Elephas maximus indicus: one gene and its partner. The protein of the gene in region 1 purifies or fractionates together with the protein of each later gene. This does not show direct contact. Links are inferred from orthologs where the notes say so. Each region holds a gene or a part of one and is shown on either strand. Other genes may lie near its edges.

What was found.
Region 2: the proteins of SLC30A2 (region 1) and METTL9 purify together in Homo sapiens (co-immunoprecipitation; 3 studies listed by BioGRID and IntAct, with this or other methods). This does not show direct contact. The link is inferred for Elephas maximus indicus from reciprocal best matches to the Homo sapiens genes SLC30A2 and METTL9.

What each region holds. Positions count from the first base shown.
Region 1 is NC_064821.1:66,541,742-66,551,124, reverse strand, and holds the start of SLC30A2 (proton-coupled zinc antiporter SLC30A2), read left to right. Parts: upstream 1-5,336; coding exon 5,337-5,386; intron 5,387-6,081; coding exon 6,082-6,302; intron 6,303-7,005; coding exon 7,006-7,152; intron 7,153-7,842; coding exon 7,843-7,996; intron 7,997-8,767; coding exon 8,768-8,942; intron 8,943-9,383.
Region 2 is NC_064830.1:82,534,699-82,543,586, forward strand, and holds the start of METTL9 (protein-L-histidine N-pros-methyltransferase), read left to right. Parts: upstream 1-5,266; 5' UTR 5,267-5,488; coding exon 5,489-5,650; intron 5,651-8,888. UniProt on the Homo sapiens protein: Protein-histidine N-methyltransferase that specifically catalyzes 1-methylhistidine (pros-methylhistidine) methylation of target proteins.

The DNA of each region.
Region 1 (9,383 bases):
CACATTTTGGGTATCTGTTAGAGCAGCACCCTACTCTCATTACCAAACTCTGTCTTAGTTATCTAGTGCTACTATAACAGAAGGAGCCCTGATGGAGCAGTGGTTAAAAGTTACAGTGAGCTACGCCTGCTAACCAAAAAGGCTGGCAGGTTGAATCCACCAGTCGCTCCTTGGAAACCCTATGGGGCATTTCTACTCTGTCCTATAAGGTCACTATGAGTCAGAACCGACTTGACAGCACGTAACAACAACAACTATAACAGAAATACCACAAGCGGGTACCTTTAACAAACAGTAATTTATTTTCTCATAGTTTAGGAGGCTAGAAGTCCGAATTCAGGGTGCCATCTCTAGGCGAAGGCTTTCTCTCTCTGTCGGCTCTAGAGGAAGGTCCTTGTCTCTTTGAGCTTCTGTTCCTGGATGATCTTCATGTGGCTTGGCTTCATGTGGCTTCTCTGCTTGCTTGTTTAATCTCTTTTAAAATATCTCAAAAAGATTGACTCAAGACACACCCTACACTAATCCTGCCTCATTAAGGCAACGAAGCCAACCAATTCCCAAATGGGATTACAACCACAGGCATGTTGTTGTTAGGTGCCATCAAGTTAGTTCCAATTCATAGTTACCCCATGTACAAGAGAAGGAGACACTGCCTGGTCCTGCACCATCCTCATAATCATTGTTATGCTTGAGTCCATCATTACATCCATTTTGTCAATCCATCTCCTTGAGGGTCTTTTCTTTTGCTGATGCTCTACATTAGCAAGCACAATGTCCTTCTCCAGGGACTGGTCCCTCCTGATAATATGTCCAAAGTATGTGAGATGAAATCTTGCTATCCTTGCTTCTAAGGAGCATTCTGGCTTTACTTCCTCTAAGACAGATTTGTTTGTTATTCTAGCAGTCAATATTCTTCACCAACACTGTAATTCAAAGGCATCAATTCTTTTTTGGTCTTCCCTATTCATTGTCCAGCTTTCACGTGCATATATACAGGCATAGAGGTTAAGATTTACAACACATATTTTCGGAGACACAATTCAATCCATAAGTCACTATCCTGTGTTTTTTTGATAACCACACACTTGCTTTTCTTTAGTTTTATCTCCCAAAGTCTCCTCCCATAGAACTATGAAAGAATTTGAGGCCAGAAAGAGAGAGGCCTAAATGACAAGTCAAGAATCTAATCCACGTCCTGTGTCTAGATTGCTTCTCCAGGTTACTGATTACTTGGGAAACAAGCATCTCAATAGCTTGTAACTTAACTGGGGGAGGGAGAGGACAGTCAAGGCTCTGTAATCAGCTAAAGCTTAAATTCCAAGACAATATCTAATTGCAAATAAGGGTATCTCTACTGTGCCATCTAAAGGATTCTCCAGTCCTTGCAAAGCAGAACACTTAAGGGTGATAAATATGGCTTTTGATCAATGGGCTTCCCTTAACATCATGCTGGAGAGAGGAACTGGCTTCAAAGGGGGCTATTCCAATGAATCCTAAATACAGTTCCATAGACTACTGCAACAAAAATCACCAGGGAAGTTTTATTTTATTTCCAAACCTTTAATTGTGGAATATTTCAAACATATTATAAAATAGAGAGAATAGTATAATGCACCCCCATGTACCCATCGCTTGGTTTCAACAGTTTGACACATCATCAATCTTGGTTCTTCTATAGTCTTACCCACTCACCCCACTGGGATTATTTTAAGGAAAGTCCCAGACAGCATATCATTTATCCTTCAATACTTTAGATAACTGTTCTTTTAAAAAATCATAACAACTATGCCATAAAATGGGCCCTGGGTGGCGCAAATGTTTAAGCACTCAACTATTAGCTGAAAGGTTAGCAGTTCGAACCCACCTAGAGGCACCTAAGAACACTGGCCTGGAGATCTGCTTCTGAAAATTTACAGCCTTGAAAACCCTATGGAGCAGTTCTACTCTGCACACATGGGGTCACCATGAGTTGGAATTGACTCCACGTCAACTAACAACATACCATAAGAAATGAACAATAATTCCACAATAGCGTCAAACACAGAGAAGGATTTTTCAGATACAGATTCCCAGGCTCCACTCCAGACCTACTGAATGAATCATTGGGCTCTAATTGTGGAATGAGGGAATATAATGTATATTTTTAAGTAACAATGTTCAGGTGATGCTGAGATCTGGGAATTGCTAGCCATTCTGTGTAGGACCTACTGGGCATCTTTGGAGAAGCCAAGTATATAATACAAATGGATCTGGCATTTTTCAGTATACTGAAGTCTTGACTAAATAACTTTTTGGTCAGTTGAACTCTTGCAAATCCACTGTAATGAATCATGGGAAAATATTAATTTAAAAGAAATCTTAAATATTTTTTCTTAATGAATGTACGTAGCTGGATTCAATTTATAAATTTGAATTTTTTTTTGGAGAATTTATGATGTCCCTTGCATTAAGGGGTAAAAGAGGGACATATGCTTATAAAGCATAACCATTTTTCCCTCAAGTAGGTTGTAAGAGCGGGTTCTGAGCATAGGGCAGAGTTTGAAACTATAACATGTGACTGAGATCGTCCAGTAAAAACTCCTCCTGGGAGCAGAAGCCACGTCAGTCCCTCTCCTCTGATTAAATGACCAACCCACCACTCATCTGTCAGCTTATACTGTGGTGGGTTGCATGTTGCTGTGAAGCTTGAAGTTAGGCGACCAGTATTTCAGATACCAGCAGGGTCACCGCTTGCGGAGCTTCTAGACTAAGACAAACTAGGAAGAAAGGCCAGGTGATCTACTTCTGAAAATTAGCCAATGAAAACCCCATGGATCACAACAGAATATTGCCCAATATAGGGCTGGAAGATGAACCTCCCCAGGTTGGAAGGAATTCTGTCTTCGTCATCTAGTGCTGCTATAACAGAAATACCACAAGGGGATGGCTTTAACAAAAAGAAATTTATTCTCTCACAGTCTAGTAGGTTACAAGTCTAAATTCAGGGCATCAGCTCCAGAGGAAGGCTTTTTCTCTCTGTTGGCTCTGGAGGAAGTCCTTGTCATCAGTCTTCCATTGGTCTGGGAGCATCTCAGTGCAGGAACCTCAGGTCCAAAGGACACGCTCTGCTCCAGGCGCTGCTTTCTTGGTGGTGAGGTCCCCAACTCTCTGCTTGCTTCCCTTTCCTGTTATCTCTTGAGAGAGAAAAGGTGGCTCAGGCCACACCCCAGGGAAACTCCCTTTACTTTGGATCAGGGAGGTGACCTGAGAAAGGGTGGTGTTACAGTCCCACCCTAATCCTCTCAACATAAAATTACACTCACAAATGGAGGGCAACCTACAGAATACTGGGAATCATGGCCTAACCATGTTAATACACACATTTTGGGGGGGGGGGACATAATTCAATCCATGACACACTCAAAATACAGTGGCTGCAATAGACTCAAGCATCCCAACAGTGGTGAAGATGGTGCAGGACCAGGCACTGTTTCATTCTGTTTTACATGGGTTGCCTTGAGCCGGAGCCAACTTCTCGGGAGCAAATAGCAACATACTAGTCTACTTCTTTATTCCAGTCCAGTCGGTGCTCAGAGCTGAGTTAAAATGTAATGGAAGTACAAGATACATCCCTGTCCTCAAAGACTTTATATAATTTAGTGGGAAGGTAAGGTAAATACATATCTGAGACCTCCTTACTCAAATGCTACTGTGCTGAAAATTCTCTGCGAATCTTGTAAATATGCAGACTCCATCCCCAGATTCCTACTCTACACACCTAGAGATTCTGATTCAGGTGGTCTCAGGTGAGGACCTGCAACTTTTATTTTAGTACCTTCTCTAGGTCATGCTGAGTCTGCTGGTCCTTCAGTTGTACTTTAAGAAATTCAGGAAGCCCAAGGGAAAGGTTTTGCACCTTGTCTCTGACTAAGATGGCTCCAGTGGGCGGAGGGACTGACGGATCCCCCTCCTTTTCCCCAGTGGTGTAGGAATGCGACCTGAGTCCACTCTTCTCTCTGTGAAGGGCCACATCTGCCAAGGCTTGGTCCTCGTGACAAGGAAGGACACTTAAGATAATGGGGCGATTGGTTAGGGAGGTTACCAACTTGAATCTCTTTCTATACAGAAGGCACCTGTTAGAGGCCAGTGTCCGGCACACAAGCTCCCGAACCCTCAGGAATCTCCCTGGGAGAATGCTGTTTCAAGCCGGTGGGGCCTAAGCCTGCTAATTCTCCCGCGGTACCACAACCCGTGGTCGAAGTACAGCACGTTCTACCTGTGTCTGCCTGGTGTTTGTATGCTGCGCTTCCTGGGGCTCCTGTAAGCTGCTGCCCCAGAGAGGGGAAGTAGTGACGGTGGGGGTGATACTGCTGGTGGAGCGCGACACTGCTCTTTGTATGTAGGAGTGGAAATAAAGCCAGTCCTCACCTGATCTGAGCCTGCAGGAGGGGAGTGGCAAGGACGGGTCTGTCAGTCCCAACCAGCCCTAAGGAGGGACATTGCCTCCAGTGTGAGGGAAGAGGCATACCCCTGCCCCTAGGAGCCCCCTAGTCTGAGGGGAAGACCAAAAGTGGGGAAATATGATCAAGCCTGAGCAGCCTCTAGTCTGAAGGTGGAAAAGGATCAAGCCCACAGGAGTCTCTCGTGTGTATGTGTGTGTGTGGGGAGGGGGAGACAGAACCCTAGCCTCAGGAGCCCCTATTCCGAGGTGAGGAGCCACATTTCCGCCCTCCGAGAACCCAAAGGGGATTTGTACAGACCAGGGTCCGAGAACTTTTTCGTGGGATGAGACCAGCCCGGCGGAGGAGAGTGGGCTCAGCACTCGCCCAGCACTAACTCAGTAACACTCAACGGCAGAGCTGGGCCCAGGCAGCCGGGCTTTTCGTCGCAGACCAGGTTGGCTTCTCTGGCCACATGGGCGCAGGGGACCGCTGCTCGGGGGCAACGCCTGGGCGCCTTTTGCAGCCGATCATCCCCTCCCCCTTCCCTGCAGGCTTTTGCACACGACGCGCCGCGGGCCGCTTCACACGGGGTGGTGGGGCAGGATAAAGCAGGGCAGGTGCGGGGCGCAGCGGCCCGGGCGGAGAGCGAGAGCGCTGCGCTGGAGCCGGGAGTGCAGCGGCTTGGCCCGGGACGACTAAGGCACCGGCGGGCGCGCGGCAGAGCCGGCGGCTGGGGGCGCACACGCCTGGGTGGCGGGAGCGGGCACGCGGGGCCCTCCCGGCTTGTGGGTTTCGAATTCTCCCAGCAGGTGGGTGCGCGCGCGCTGCGGAGTGTCCCTAGCGCAACTTTGAGGCACACTCGGCGGGGCGGCTGGCTCTCGGCGGCAGGACCCAGCGCGGGGCGCGTGGTGCCACATGGAGGCCACAGAGAAGCAGCATCTGTTGGACGCCAGGCCTGGAGCTCGGTAAGGCGGGAGCCTGGGGAGGAGCGGGAGTTTGCGCGGCATCAGATGCACCTCCTCGTTAGCCATCCTGGCAGTTTTGGCGGCATCTTGAACTGGGATCACGCAGGAAGGATGGGGTGAGGTGGGCGAATGGGGAAATCGAACGTGATCCCGGGGATCATACCTTCCTTGAGGCCGAGCGCAGACCCTGACCCCAGCCGGCCAAGGGAGAGGGGAGAGTGGGCTGCTCGGAGCCCCGCCCCTGGTTCAGCACTTTGCTCCCTGGCAGCCCCGCCCTGGGGAGGCGCTGTGCCCCCAAGTGCGCGGAAGAGGGAGGGGAAAAGGGAGGGAAGGTCTGCGCTTCTCCCCGAAGTCTGAGCTCTGCTCCTTCTCCAAGCTCCGCTCGGGTAAACCAGCCCAGCCCCTTGGCCAGTTCCCAAAGTATTCCGCTTCCTCCAGGCCCAGAAAGGGATAGAGGAAGAGTAACCGCACAGGCCAAGGCCCCCAAGACTCCTGCGCTGGCCATTCCCCCAGTCTTTCCTCCCCCAGCTCTGTCTTCTCACCTTCTCCTCATTCCTCAGGGACTGTCAGAGGTCAATGCCATCCTCTGCATGTGTCCAATGGAGACACCAAGGCCCACAGCAAGCTGGGGCAGAGTCAGGCCTCCTTGCCCCATCACAGAGCTGAATCTCCTCTCTTCCTCCCTCTCTGGCCAGGTCATACATGGGATCTGTATGGCAGGATGGGGCTGGCTGGATCCCTCTGCCCCAGCGTGGCCTAGACTTGCAGGCCATTGAGCTGGCCGTCCAGAGCAACCACTACTGCCATGCTCAGAATGATCCTGGCAGCCACTATGACCCCAAGAAGGAGCGAGCTCGGCGCCAGCTCTATGTGGCCTCTGCCATCTGCCTGGTGTTCATGATTGGGGAAGTTGTTGGTAAGAACTTCTGTGCTAATTAAGTGAAGTAAGGGCATGGACTGGATGATCCAAAAGACTTTTCTCCTGGATTTTCCCAGTAACATTAATAGCCTCATTTATTGAACACTCACTGTGTTAAGCCCTTTATATACACACTATCTCATGCAGTCTTCACAACTCATGCTGTCATATGGGTGCTCTTTTCCCTATTTTAGGGAAGAAGAAACTGAGGCAGGTTATGGGTCAGCAACTTGCCCAAGATTACACACAGCTAGTAGGAAAAGGAGGGCCTGAATGCCTAGGAGAGAGCATTTACTGAGTACCTATTACGTTTTTGGAGCCTTGGTGACACTGTGGTTAAGCATTTGGCTGCCAACCAAAAGGTCAGCAGTTCAAATCCACCAGCTGCTCCTTGGAAACCGTATGGGGCAAGTCTACTCTGTATTATAGGGTTGCTATGAGTTGGAATTAACAGCAACGGGTTTACCATGCTTTTCATCCTCTAAGTAGATGTTATTATCCCCATTTTGTGGATGTGGATGTTGAGGCTCAGAGAGTAAGTCACTTGCCCAAGGTCACACAGCTAATGGGTAGAGAGGTCTCAAACTCAGTGTGTCTGTCTCCAGAGTCTGTGGTCTCTCCATTGCACACATAGTCTGGGGGGGTTGGCTCCTTGGGGAGCTGATGAGGACCTTCCATCCTTATGGCTCTTCCCATGTAGGTGGGTACCTGGCACATAGCTTGGCGATAATGACCGATGCAGCCCACCTGCTCACTGACTTTGCCAGCATGCTTATCAGCCTCTTCTCCCTCTGGATGTCCTCCCGGCCGGCCACCAAGACCATGAACTTCGGCTGGCAGCGAGCTGGTGAGGGCCCTGGTCAGGCTCTAGATGTACTTGGGGGAGGGGACAGGTCAGGACCTGGATTCTCAGGTGGCTGCAATTGGTGGAGCCCTGAATGAGGCCAGGAGGGTGACCTGGGTGGAGGAAGAGGATGTCAACCCTGGTCTCTGTCCTGAGGGAATTCCCAGTCTGTAGGGAAGGAGAGATCACATTCCTGAGAAGTACAACAGCCAACTTCAAAAACATATGACTATGGCATTAATCCTGTATGGAACTCTATGGATCAGCTCTAGGGGGAGGGCAAGGTCAGCAAAGCCTTCTGGAAGATACAGGCTTTAAACCTTCTTTAATTCACCTCTGGGCTGCATTGTCATTTTCCTCTTGGAGATGGTCCAGCCTCTCCTTAGAAGCCTCAGTTTGCCAGCTGACCAATGCATATATATTTTAATAAGTCCTTTATTTTTTTTTTTTAACATGTCAAACAAGATAGTTTGACCCAAGTGACTTCTTAAGTCCCTTCTAGCTCTGATGTCCTCAGCTATATGAGTAGTAGAGTGAGGTGCAATGTGCCACCTGTACCCTCAGCAGAGTCCAGGGGCACCCAGGCCCTGACTTTGCATTCTGGGGTGAGGGAGGTCATGGAGGGAAGGGGAGGCTCCCTCAGCCCTAGGGCCACACGCTGAGGTTGGTATTGGGGGTCTGGTTCTTCCTCAGAGATCCTGGGAGCCCTGCTGTCTGTGCTGTCCATCTGGGTGGTGACCGGGGTGCTGGTGTACCTGGCGGTGGAGCGGCTAATCTCTGGGGACTATGAGATTGAGGGGGGGACCATGCTGATCACATCGGGCTGTGCAGTGGCTGTAAACATCATGTGAGTGTGGCTTCAGTTACCCCACAGTCCCCTTTCCCCCCACCTTTCACACACACACCCATGTGCCCACTCTTGGTGGAAGGAGGCCATGCCACAGTCCAGCGGCCATGCCAGAAATTCCCTGGTGATCTGAGCTCTGGCACCTTGGACACCTGGGTCCTGTTTTAGGCCTAGCCCAAGGCCTTTTGGAGCTGCAATCTGGGCCACCATCAATTCCCTTCCCTCCCTTCCCCCATACATGTCAGTAAATAACCTTGGAGGCTTCATACCTGAAGAGGGGGAAGGGGAATCTATTACCTGCAGGAACAGATGTCTCTGGGCCAGAATCAAATCCAAGTCCTTTCAAGCTGATGTTCCTGAAATTAGTCTCTGTGAGTAGCAGTGGTGTGCACAGCATTGGTGTCTCACTGAGACTCTTTCTCTCCCTTGCTCAGTGGCCTTGGGCGAGCTACTTCCTGTCTCTAGGCCTCAGCTTCCCCATCTGTGACATGTGGTGGAGAGGGGACTAGACGGCCTCCTATGTGCCCTTCTGCTCTGAGATTTGGTACTGGGCCAGCAGTGTGCTCAGACTCAGCCTGGCACTGGGGCTGAGCCCTTTCTCCTGTGGGACTTTGAAGCAAGGCCATGTGGGCTGGGCCACTCACATGGCCAAAGGGATCCCACAGAGTCTGGGATGGGGAGGGTGTTTTTGCCCCACAGGAAGGCCAGCCATAATGGCGGCCTGTACCTGCTACCTCAGTGAATCACTCAGTCCTGTCTCCATTTCTGTAGAATGGGGCTGACCCTTCACCAATCTGACCATGGGCACAGCCACGGCCACAGCCACAGCCACAATACCAGTGAGCAGCAGCAGAACCCCAGTGTCCGAGCTGCCTTTGTCCACGTGATTGGGGACTTTATGCAGAGCTTGGGCGTCTTGGTGGCAGCCTATATTTTATACTTCAAGGTCAGAGCTGGGGGCAGAGGGAGGTAGGCTGGGGAGCAGGAGGCTGTAGATTGTCTGGGAACTCCTCTCTGCACTGGACCCTTACCCAATTCCAGCCCCCTCCCAGCTCTGGGGACACAGGTCGGGAGAGAGAATGAACTAGCATTTATTCAACACCTACCAAGTGTTAGCACTTGAGATCTTCATGACAACCCTGAATGATATGGATGGTGGTGTTTTCTGCAGCTCAGAGAGGTTCAGTGCCTTGCTCAGTGTCACACAGCTAGTAAGTTGTAGAGTCAGACTCAAACCCAGGACTGTGTGGTACCAAAGCCCTGGGCATCGCGCATCATGTAGATATTGAGGAAACAGCAGGCATTGGAGTCAGGCCTGAATTTGAAGCCTGGCTCCACCCCTTGCTAGCTATGGGACATTGAGCAAGCCATTTCCTCTTCTTGAGCC
Region 2 (8,888 bases), on another chromosome or scaffold:
TGGCAGAGACACCGTGGGGGTTCAGAAGGTTCTGTAAGCAGGAGAAACACCGTGGCTGACACAGAGGTAGACAAGTGAGCAAGCTGGGAAGAGTTTGATATATTAGAGGGGGAAAGACTTTCCTACTAAAAAGAAGGCTGACAGCAAACAACTTGAATTTGCTGCCTGATTTTGTGACTTCAAGTTTGAATGTTTTATAGTTTCGTGTTTTATATTCTTGACCCCCCACTCTCGTGGTCACTCCCCTTAGTTTGAAATCTCCAGACAGGAGTCTGGGGATGGATATATGATGAGGAGAATCTACCATTGTAGGTTTTGAGGATATTTTATGGAGGATTTGCAGAGGCTACAAGCACATCAGGACTGAGCATCCTTATTCTGATAACCTTGGTTAGCTGTTTTACAGTTTATGAAGCTGTCGGATCATCTGAGTCTCACAGACATATTGTGAAGTAAGCAGCTCAGACTTGTGGCCCTCATTTTATAGATGAGGAAACAGGCTCAGAAGAGGTTGATTTATCCAAGTTTATTCCAGTGTATACTGTGTGTTGAGGCACTAAACCCTTTATATGAAGAATGTATAATTTAATCCTCACAACAATCTCAAGAGATCAAACCCTTTATATGAAGAATGTATAATTTAATCCTCACAACAACCTCAAGAGATCGGTAACCATTATTAATATCACCATTTTATAGATGGGGAAACTAAGAACTGAAGAGATTAAGTAATTTGCCTCAAGTTGCATAACTAAGAAGTGTTGTGCCAGGCTTCAAAACCAGGTGGTCTGAAAGATTAGAGAGGCCCATAAAACAAAATGAGATTAAAGGGGCACACCAGCCCAGAAGCAAGGACAAGAATGCAGGAGAGCACAGGAAAGCTGGTAATGGGGAACCCAAGGTCAAGAAGGGGAGAGTGTTGACATGTTGTGGGGTTGGCAACCAAAGTCACGAAACAATATGTATATTACTTATTTAATGAGAAACTAATTTGCTCTGTAAAGCTTCATCTAAAGCACAATAAAAACAAACAAAAACAAACTGGTGGTCTGTTTCAACCTGTTGCTGTTGAGTCGATTCGGACTCACAGTGACCCTATAGGACAGGGTAGAGCTGCCCCACAGAGTTTCTAAGGAGTGCCTGGTGGATTTGAACTGCCAACCTTTTGGTAAGCAGCTGAAGCACTTAACCAGTATACCACCAGGGGTCCTAAAAGCGCAGGATAAACCACTATGCTAATGAGTAGCACTGGGAGCTCTCCAAGGGAGTAAGCTGTGTTATTTGTACTTACTCTATGTTAAGAGGAAACCCTGGTGGCATAATGGTTAATTGCTATGGCTGCTAACCACAAGGGTTGGCAGTTTGAATGCGCCCTTGGAAACTCTATGGGGCAGTTCTACTCTGCCCTATAGGGTCACTATGAGTAGGAATCGACCAGACGGCACTGGGTTTGGTTTTCTATATTAAAAGGAAACCCTGGTGGTGTAGTGGTTAAGTGCTATGGTTGCTAACCAAAAGGTTGGCAGTTTGAATCCACCAGGTGCTCCTTGGAAACTCTGTGGGGCAGTTCTATTCTGTCCTATATGGTTGCTATGAGTTGGAATCGACTCGACGGCAATGGGGTCTATATTAAAAACAAAACAAAAAAACCTGTTGCCTTAGAGTCGACTCTTAGCAACCCTGTAGGACAGAGTAGAAAGGCCTCATAGGGCTTCCATGGAGTGGCTCCTGGTTCAATTCTGCCTACTTCATGCTATTACTTTTTAACTGTTTATAATTTCATCTTGACTTGGAATTTATCAGAGCCACAGTGATATGACTTGCATATGATTGAAATTACTTTAGCTAAATTAAAATAAAAATCCCACTGTTGTTCCATGCTGTTGCGTCCATTCCAACTCATAGCAACCCCATGTGACAGAGCAGAACTGCCCAACAGGGCTTTCTGGGGTGTGATCTTTGTGGAAGCAGATTGCCAGGTCTCTCTCTCACAGAGCAGCTGGGTGGGTTTGAACCACCAACCTTTCACTTAGCTGAAAGCTTAACCATTGTGCCACCAGGGCTCCTTAAAAACTCCCTACACTTCACTAATTTTATTTTTTAGAGGTGCTTATTGCTTAAGAAGCACAGCTATTGAATATATTGGGGAAAACTTGTACTTTTCTCTGACACTTTACAAAATGTTATTAAGAAGCATTAAAAAAAAATCTGGGGCTTCCTGGGGGAGGGTAGTGTGTTCCTTTTTGGGACATCGAAGTTCCACGTTGGGAACCCTCCCAGACCTCCCCCTGTGTCTCTTCATTTCTATCCTTTTTGTTATAATAAAACTGTAATCACATATCTGGACACAGGCTCCACTCTATGGATTCTGGTTGGAGGCCCATGGGGCCTGTGCATCAGCCCTGCCTTTCAGACCCACTGGGAGGGCAGCCTCTCCCTTAGCTCGGGGTGGCCCCATTCTCCTGGTACACTTGAGTGGTGACCCCACCCCTTTCGCCCCACGTGGCTTAGTTCTCCTGGCCCACTGACACAGAAGCCTTGCCCCTTCAACTTTGGACGGTGGCTGTGTTAGCTGGTATCAGAACAGAATTGGTAATAAATTGGTTTGGATCAATTAACACCACACACACACGCACACACACACACACACACACATCTAAGCCCATGAACATGTGATATGAGTTCTTTCAGGATAATATCCCCTCAGGGAGATGGCAAGACCAACAGTGACCAGCATGTTTGCTACACTGTACAGATCCAAGTCTCTCACCCTTTGGGTTGTCTTAAGATTATACACTTTGTAGTTGAAAAGAGAACATGAAAATGCCATGACTTGTAGCTTAAGAGGAAAAAAAAAAAAAAAGCCCCTCTCTAGAATTCTAGGTAGGAATGTAATCCAGTCAAAATTCCAGGCCTGTGCACAAGGCTGTGACCCAAGGTTTCCACCAACTCGATACCAAGCTAGACACCTGAGCTCCTGGTCAGGAGGGCAGTGAGAAGAGGTTGGCACAGAAGGTGTCAGCTATGTGTCTTTTGAATATCACTGACTGAATTTCGAAGTCAAGTTAGAAAGGATATTGGTTCATCTCTGGATTTTTGTGTTCTTTGTGCGTCTTCCCCTCTCCATTATGGATAACTGAGGTTTTAATATACAGTGGTGACATTCTAGTAGATGAAGGAAAGGGGCAGTCTCTGAGGGCCATCTGAACTTCTGCTTAGTATATTTACTCTTGCTGTTTTCCTTCCTCCTCATTTGTAATTCAGGAGGCTCTCTGAAAAGAGAGAGAGACAGCGAGGCTTCTCAGATGGATCGGAGGACCAAGAGCTGGGATACCAAGTTCTATGATAAGGTCTGCTATTGAATTTGCTCTGCTACCTTTAGGCAAATCATTCGATCACACTGTGCTTTGGTTTCTTCCTGTGCTTGTTAAGTGTAAATAACATGCATTGAATATTTTGTGATTACTATAGAGTGTTTTAGATGTGTGGGTGGTCTATTGTTCTAGGTTGGCTGCTCAGGTATAAGGCAAAAATCTGTTCGTTTGAGATGCTGGGCTTCTGGGAGTCAACTGACCTCAAGCCCTTCAGGCTGCAGCAGCATCTAGTTGCTTCTTGTTCATCTGATACATTTTGCAGTCTCTGAGTAGCAGTGCAGCAGGCTTACTCTATGGTTGGGGGGGGGCATACCTTTTTTTTCTCCTTTGTCTTCAGAAATGAAATATGCCATTTTATGCAGTACTACTATTTCTACCCCCCCACCCCTCCCACTTTGAAAAGGTGAAGGCTTTCTTTTGGCACTGATACCAAGAGACAAGAGGCAGAGGTGACATAGTAAACAAACTGAGTTATTTGGACTTGTTACTATAATTCCTTCTTGATGATTTGAGCCCAAGACCACTAGAGGTTTGAAGCAGATTTAGTAAGGTGCAGGCTCTTTGGGGTTTTGGCAGGAAGCAGTCAGGGAGTATTTTTTTTTTTAGTCAGGGAATATACAGAACTGGAAGGAGAGGACAAAGTACCTCTCTGCCCCACCCTTTTTTTGTTAGAGGCTATGTCACATTAGGTAACAAGATATCCATGTTAGTGAAATGTGCCAAGCTGAGATTCTTAGAAGCTAATAGAAATATTTGTGGATAAGGTACTATTTTGTTTCTCATCAGTGGATGACCTCACCACCGTTGCAGAAATGAAAAGCTCTGAAGTGCAATATGGCATGAACTGAGGGGTTTCTTCCTTTTGTTTTGAACTAAAATAAAATGTATTTACATTATTTCTGGTTCAGTTAAATTAAAATCATTTTGTAAACAAACCAACCCAAGAAGGCGTTATTAAAGTTAAAAGGACGCGTGAAACATGTTACTCCTTAGTTGCAGCTTGAGTAGCAGCAGAAAGAACGTTAGACACAGTGTAACCCTTCAGTTTTGAGAGGTTGCTAGGTCTCCTCGGGCTATAAATGATCAAAGAAACATCCGGGTAAATACTGCTCCCAGAGCTTACTTCGCCTAAGAGTGTTGGTTCCAACTTTGGTCTGTGAGTTCAAAGAAAGAGCACCTAGAGACACTAATTTGGGGTCTTCATCCTTGGGCAGAGTCATCAATACATCAAAACATTACCTGCGGGTGCCCCAGCTGCAGTAGCTTTCAACAAAGGCAGAGCTTTCCTCGATGCCTCTTAGAAACATGCAGCCAGCAACTGGCCAGACTTGGGGGAACCGAGGTGGTGGTGGTAGCGATGATATTCTCTTTCCCTAGATTCCTGTCTGCTTTGCAGCTCCTGCGAAGCGAGGTGGAGGCCCTTGGGATAGGGTTCTGGCTTGTCAGCTCGTAGTCGTGCTCGTAACAGCTAAGAACTGGCATCGTTGGTCCATGGGAAGGACTTGGGTCTGAATCTTTGGATGCACGAACGCGATGAGACCCACCCCAGGCAATCTGCTCCACAAAGTGCAAGTCCTTCCTGGGGGTGGAATGACGAGCCCACTGGCAAAGGCTAAGGCGAAGACAGACCTGAGGTCTTGCAAGCACTACCTTGGAAGGAGGGGAGGCTTCAGTTACCGCTTTCGGAAGTGAGCTCCCCTCCCCTAAAAAATTTACATGGTCTCCGCCATTACGTGGGGCCGCGCTAGAGACGGCCGGCGGGGGCGCGCGCCAGGCGAATGCGCGCTCCCTTTGTGCCACCTCCCAGCCGGCCTGCTGATTGGACCAAGGGAGCGCGCCCCGGCGAGAGCGCGCCCCAGCAGCTCGTACGTGCTCCGGGTGGAAACCGGCGCCGTGGGCGGCGGCGTTCCGCGGCGGAAAGGAAGGAGGCGGTGGGAAGGCCGTGCGCTGGCCGCTCCTCCCCGCCCCCCTGCCTCTGCCCTGGAGGGGCTGGATGGGCAAGTTGAGCGCGATGGCTCGAGCCTGGGCGGTGGCGGTGGTGGCCGGAGGCGGCGGCGCCTCCTCCTCCTCGCCCCGGCGCCGGCGGTGATCGGAGTGAGCGGCCGCGGCCCCCGATGAGACTGTTCGCGGGCTGGCTGTGCCTGAGCCTGGCGTCCGAGTGGCTGGCGCGGAGGATGTGGACGCTGCGGAGTCCGCTCCCCCGCTCCCTGTACGTGAACATGACGAGCGGCCCAGGCGGGCCGGCGGCGGCCGCGGGCAGGAAGGAGAACCACCAGGTACGGGAGCCGGGCCCGGCCGGGGTCGGCATCCGGCGGGGGAGCGGCGGCCCGGCCTTCCCGCGCTCGGCCCGGCCATTGTGCGGCGCAGCGCGGCAACAGCGCCGCGGGCCCTCGCCCCGCCGCCGGCGCCCGGAAACTTTTCCCCGCGACTTCCCCCCGGGCCCCGGCCCGCGACCCCCGGGCGCCCGGCCCGGCCCTGCGGCGCCTTTTGTTCCCCGGCGCGGGCGGAGGCCGGCTTCCCCTTCCCCCTCCGCGGGCCCGAGCGTGGGCGCCCGGAGCCCTGCATTGTTCCCGGGCCCCCGGCGGGGCTGGCAGAGGCCCCTCGGCGCCCGCTCCCGGCGGCAGGACGCGGAGAACTTCGGGGCCGGCGGATGGCGAGGGTCACCCGCCTGACAGCGAGGCCTGGGATGAGGACAGCCCTCATAGCCTAAGGGGCACAAAACGAAAAGCCGGCCCCTCTTTTTGTCTCGTTGAATCTCTGAACATACAAAGGGTTGTGAGAAATTGAAACGTGCGTCGTGAGCCATTTAACTCTCCGGGCTTATTCGGGTGACATTTTCCCTAAGCGCTTACGTGTGTGAAAGGTCCTCACGCCCATCCTACTGAGCCTTCCCCTCCTACCCAAGAGAGATCTCCTTTAAACTTCGATTTAGGCATCTGACCAGAAGGATGCATAAAGAGGAAAATGATGTCAGCTGTTACAGGAAGGGCTTTTAAAACAACACCTGGCAGGACTGAATTCTTTTTAAGAGTTATAGTTGTGGGTCGTGAGCGATGCGATAGGATCGGTTACCATCTTATTATTAGCTCCAGTTTAGTGCCATTTCAAAGAAGGATGTGCAGGTCAGCAGTCGAATTAAGAGTGAAATATTTTGTGTTTGATCATACTGTAAGTTTGCGGTTAGCATTACATTCATTTAAAAGAGGCTTTTGGTCGCGGCCAGAAAGTTGACTCACAATAGCTTGCATTTATAGTACATTTTACCTATTCTGAGAACTCCCCATATAACCTTGTGCAGGGATCATTTTCATGGATTTCTTATTTTTCTTTGTTACTTTTCTTATTCGAGGTATTCAGAGAGTTTACGCCAGGTTGATTTTACGTGTTTTTTTTTTTTTTTTAAGATAACATTTGTTTATTATTTATTTATTTATTTATTATGCTTTAGATGAAGGTTTACAGAACAAACTAGCTTCTCGTTAAACAGTACCCATATTGTTTTATGACATTGATTACTAACTGCATGACATGTCAACACTCTTCCTTCTCGACCTTGATTGGATACCCTATTAGCAGCTTTCCTGTCCTCTCCTGCCCTCTAGTCCTTGCCCCTGGGCTGGCGTGCCCCTGTAGTCTCGTTTTGTTTTATGGGCTTGTCTAATCTTTGGCTGAAGGGTGAACCTCAGGGGTGATTTCATTACTGAGCTGAAACGGTGTCTGGGGTCCATAGTCTCAGGGTTTCTCCAGTCTCTGTCAGGCCAGTAACTCAGGTCTTTTTTTGTGAGTTGGAATTTTGTTCTACATTTCTCTCCAGCTCTGCCTGGGACCCTCTATTGTGATCTGTCAGAGCAGTCGATGGTGGTAGTTGGGCACGATCTAGTCGTACTGGACTCAGTCTAGTGGAGGCTGTGGTAGTTGTGGTCCATAAATCCTTGGGACTAATCTTTCCCTTGTGTCTTTAGTTTTCTTCACTCTCTGTTGCTCCCGAATGGGTGAGATCATTGGAGTATCTTAGATGGCTGCTCATAGGCTTTTAAGACTCCAGGCACTACTCACCAAAGTAGGATGTAGAACATTTTCTTTATAAACTATGTTATGCCAATTGAGCTAGACATTCCCCGAGACGATGGTCCCGACAGCCCTCAGTGATTTCATATGTTTTAATGAAAATAAAGAATTCTAGGAAGGAGGTAAAGCAGCTCATTCGGAAAAGTAACATACAGTTTTGATTAAGCAAGTATTTGTAGTAGTGCTTTTTCTGTTTTAAAGGATATCCTAAATGTCTATAAGATTTTTGGTAAACCCCCAGCTATCACAATTTGTTAGGCGATCAACTCCTATGATATCATTAGGTGTGTACATGAAGTTCGTAGGCAATCTTAAATTGTAAAGCCACGTTGATTGATTTGGATTTATTACTTTTTTTTCCTAAATTTTATTTTGTTGTTGAGAATATACACAGCAAAACACTAGTTCAGCAGTTTCTACATGTATAATTTAGTGATGTTGATTACATTCTATGAATTATGCAACCATTCTCACCTCCTTTTCTGAGTTGTTTCTGCCTCATTAACATAAACTTAATGCCCCCTAATGTTTCTGTCTAATCTTTGGAGTTGCTGTTGTCAGTTTGTTCCCCTGTGGATAGTTCTTAAAAGAGCATAATGCTCAAGGCAGACCTTTTTTACTAGTTAAGCCAAACTGTTGTTCAGTTTTAAGATGACTTCAGGGAATATTTTTGGTTTAAGGTTTAAAGATTATCTCAGGGCAATAGGTTCAGGGGCTCATCCACCCTCTGGCTCTAGAAAGTCTAGAGTCCATGGGAATTTGAAACTTCGTTTTACATTTTCCCCCTTTTGATCAGGATTCTTCTATGCAGTCTGATCAAAATGTTCAATATTGGTAGCCAGGCACCATCCAGTTCTGGTCTCATGGGAAGGGAAGCAGTTGTTCATGGAGGTAATTAGCCAAACATTCCACACCCTCTTCCTGCTTCTCACTCTTGTTCCTCTGTTGCTCCAGGTGAATGGAGTTAAGTTGTTGTGCCTTGTTTGGCCACTTGTAAGCTCTTAAGACCCCAGGCACTACTTAACAAACAAGGAGGTAGAAGAGAAGCAGTAAACAGATTATTAGGCCAGTTAACTGGGGTATCCCATGAAACCATGACCCTAAACCTCCAGACAAAGGAACCAAATCCCATTTCGCTGTTCCTAAACAGCCTCAGCAGCTACTCTTTTTGTTGTGATATATTTCGTTGTTGTAAATATATCACACAACTTTTGCCAATTCAACTTTTAACAGGTGTATAACTTACTGACAGCAATTATGATAATAAGCCGTGCAACTCTACCCTTAATGCCATTTTTCCCTCACTGTTAGTTGCTCCCCCCATAACCACTAATGATAAATTTTGGTCTCCATTCATTTGCCTTTTCTTGTCTTTTTATATAAGTGAGCTCATACAGTATTTGTTCTTTAGTGATTGGCTTATTTAACTCAGCATAATGTCTTTAA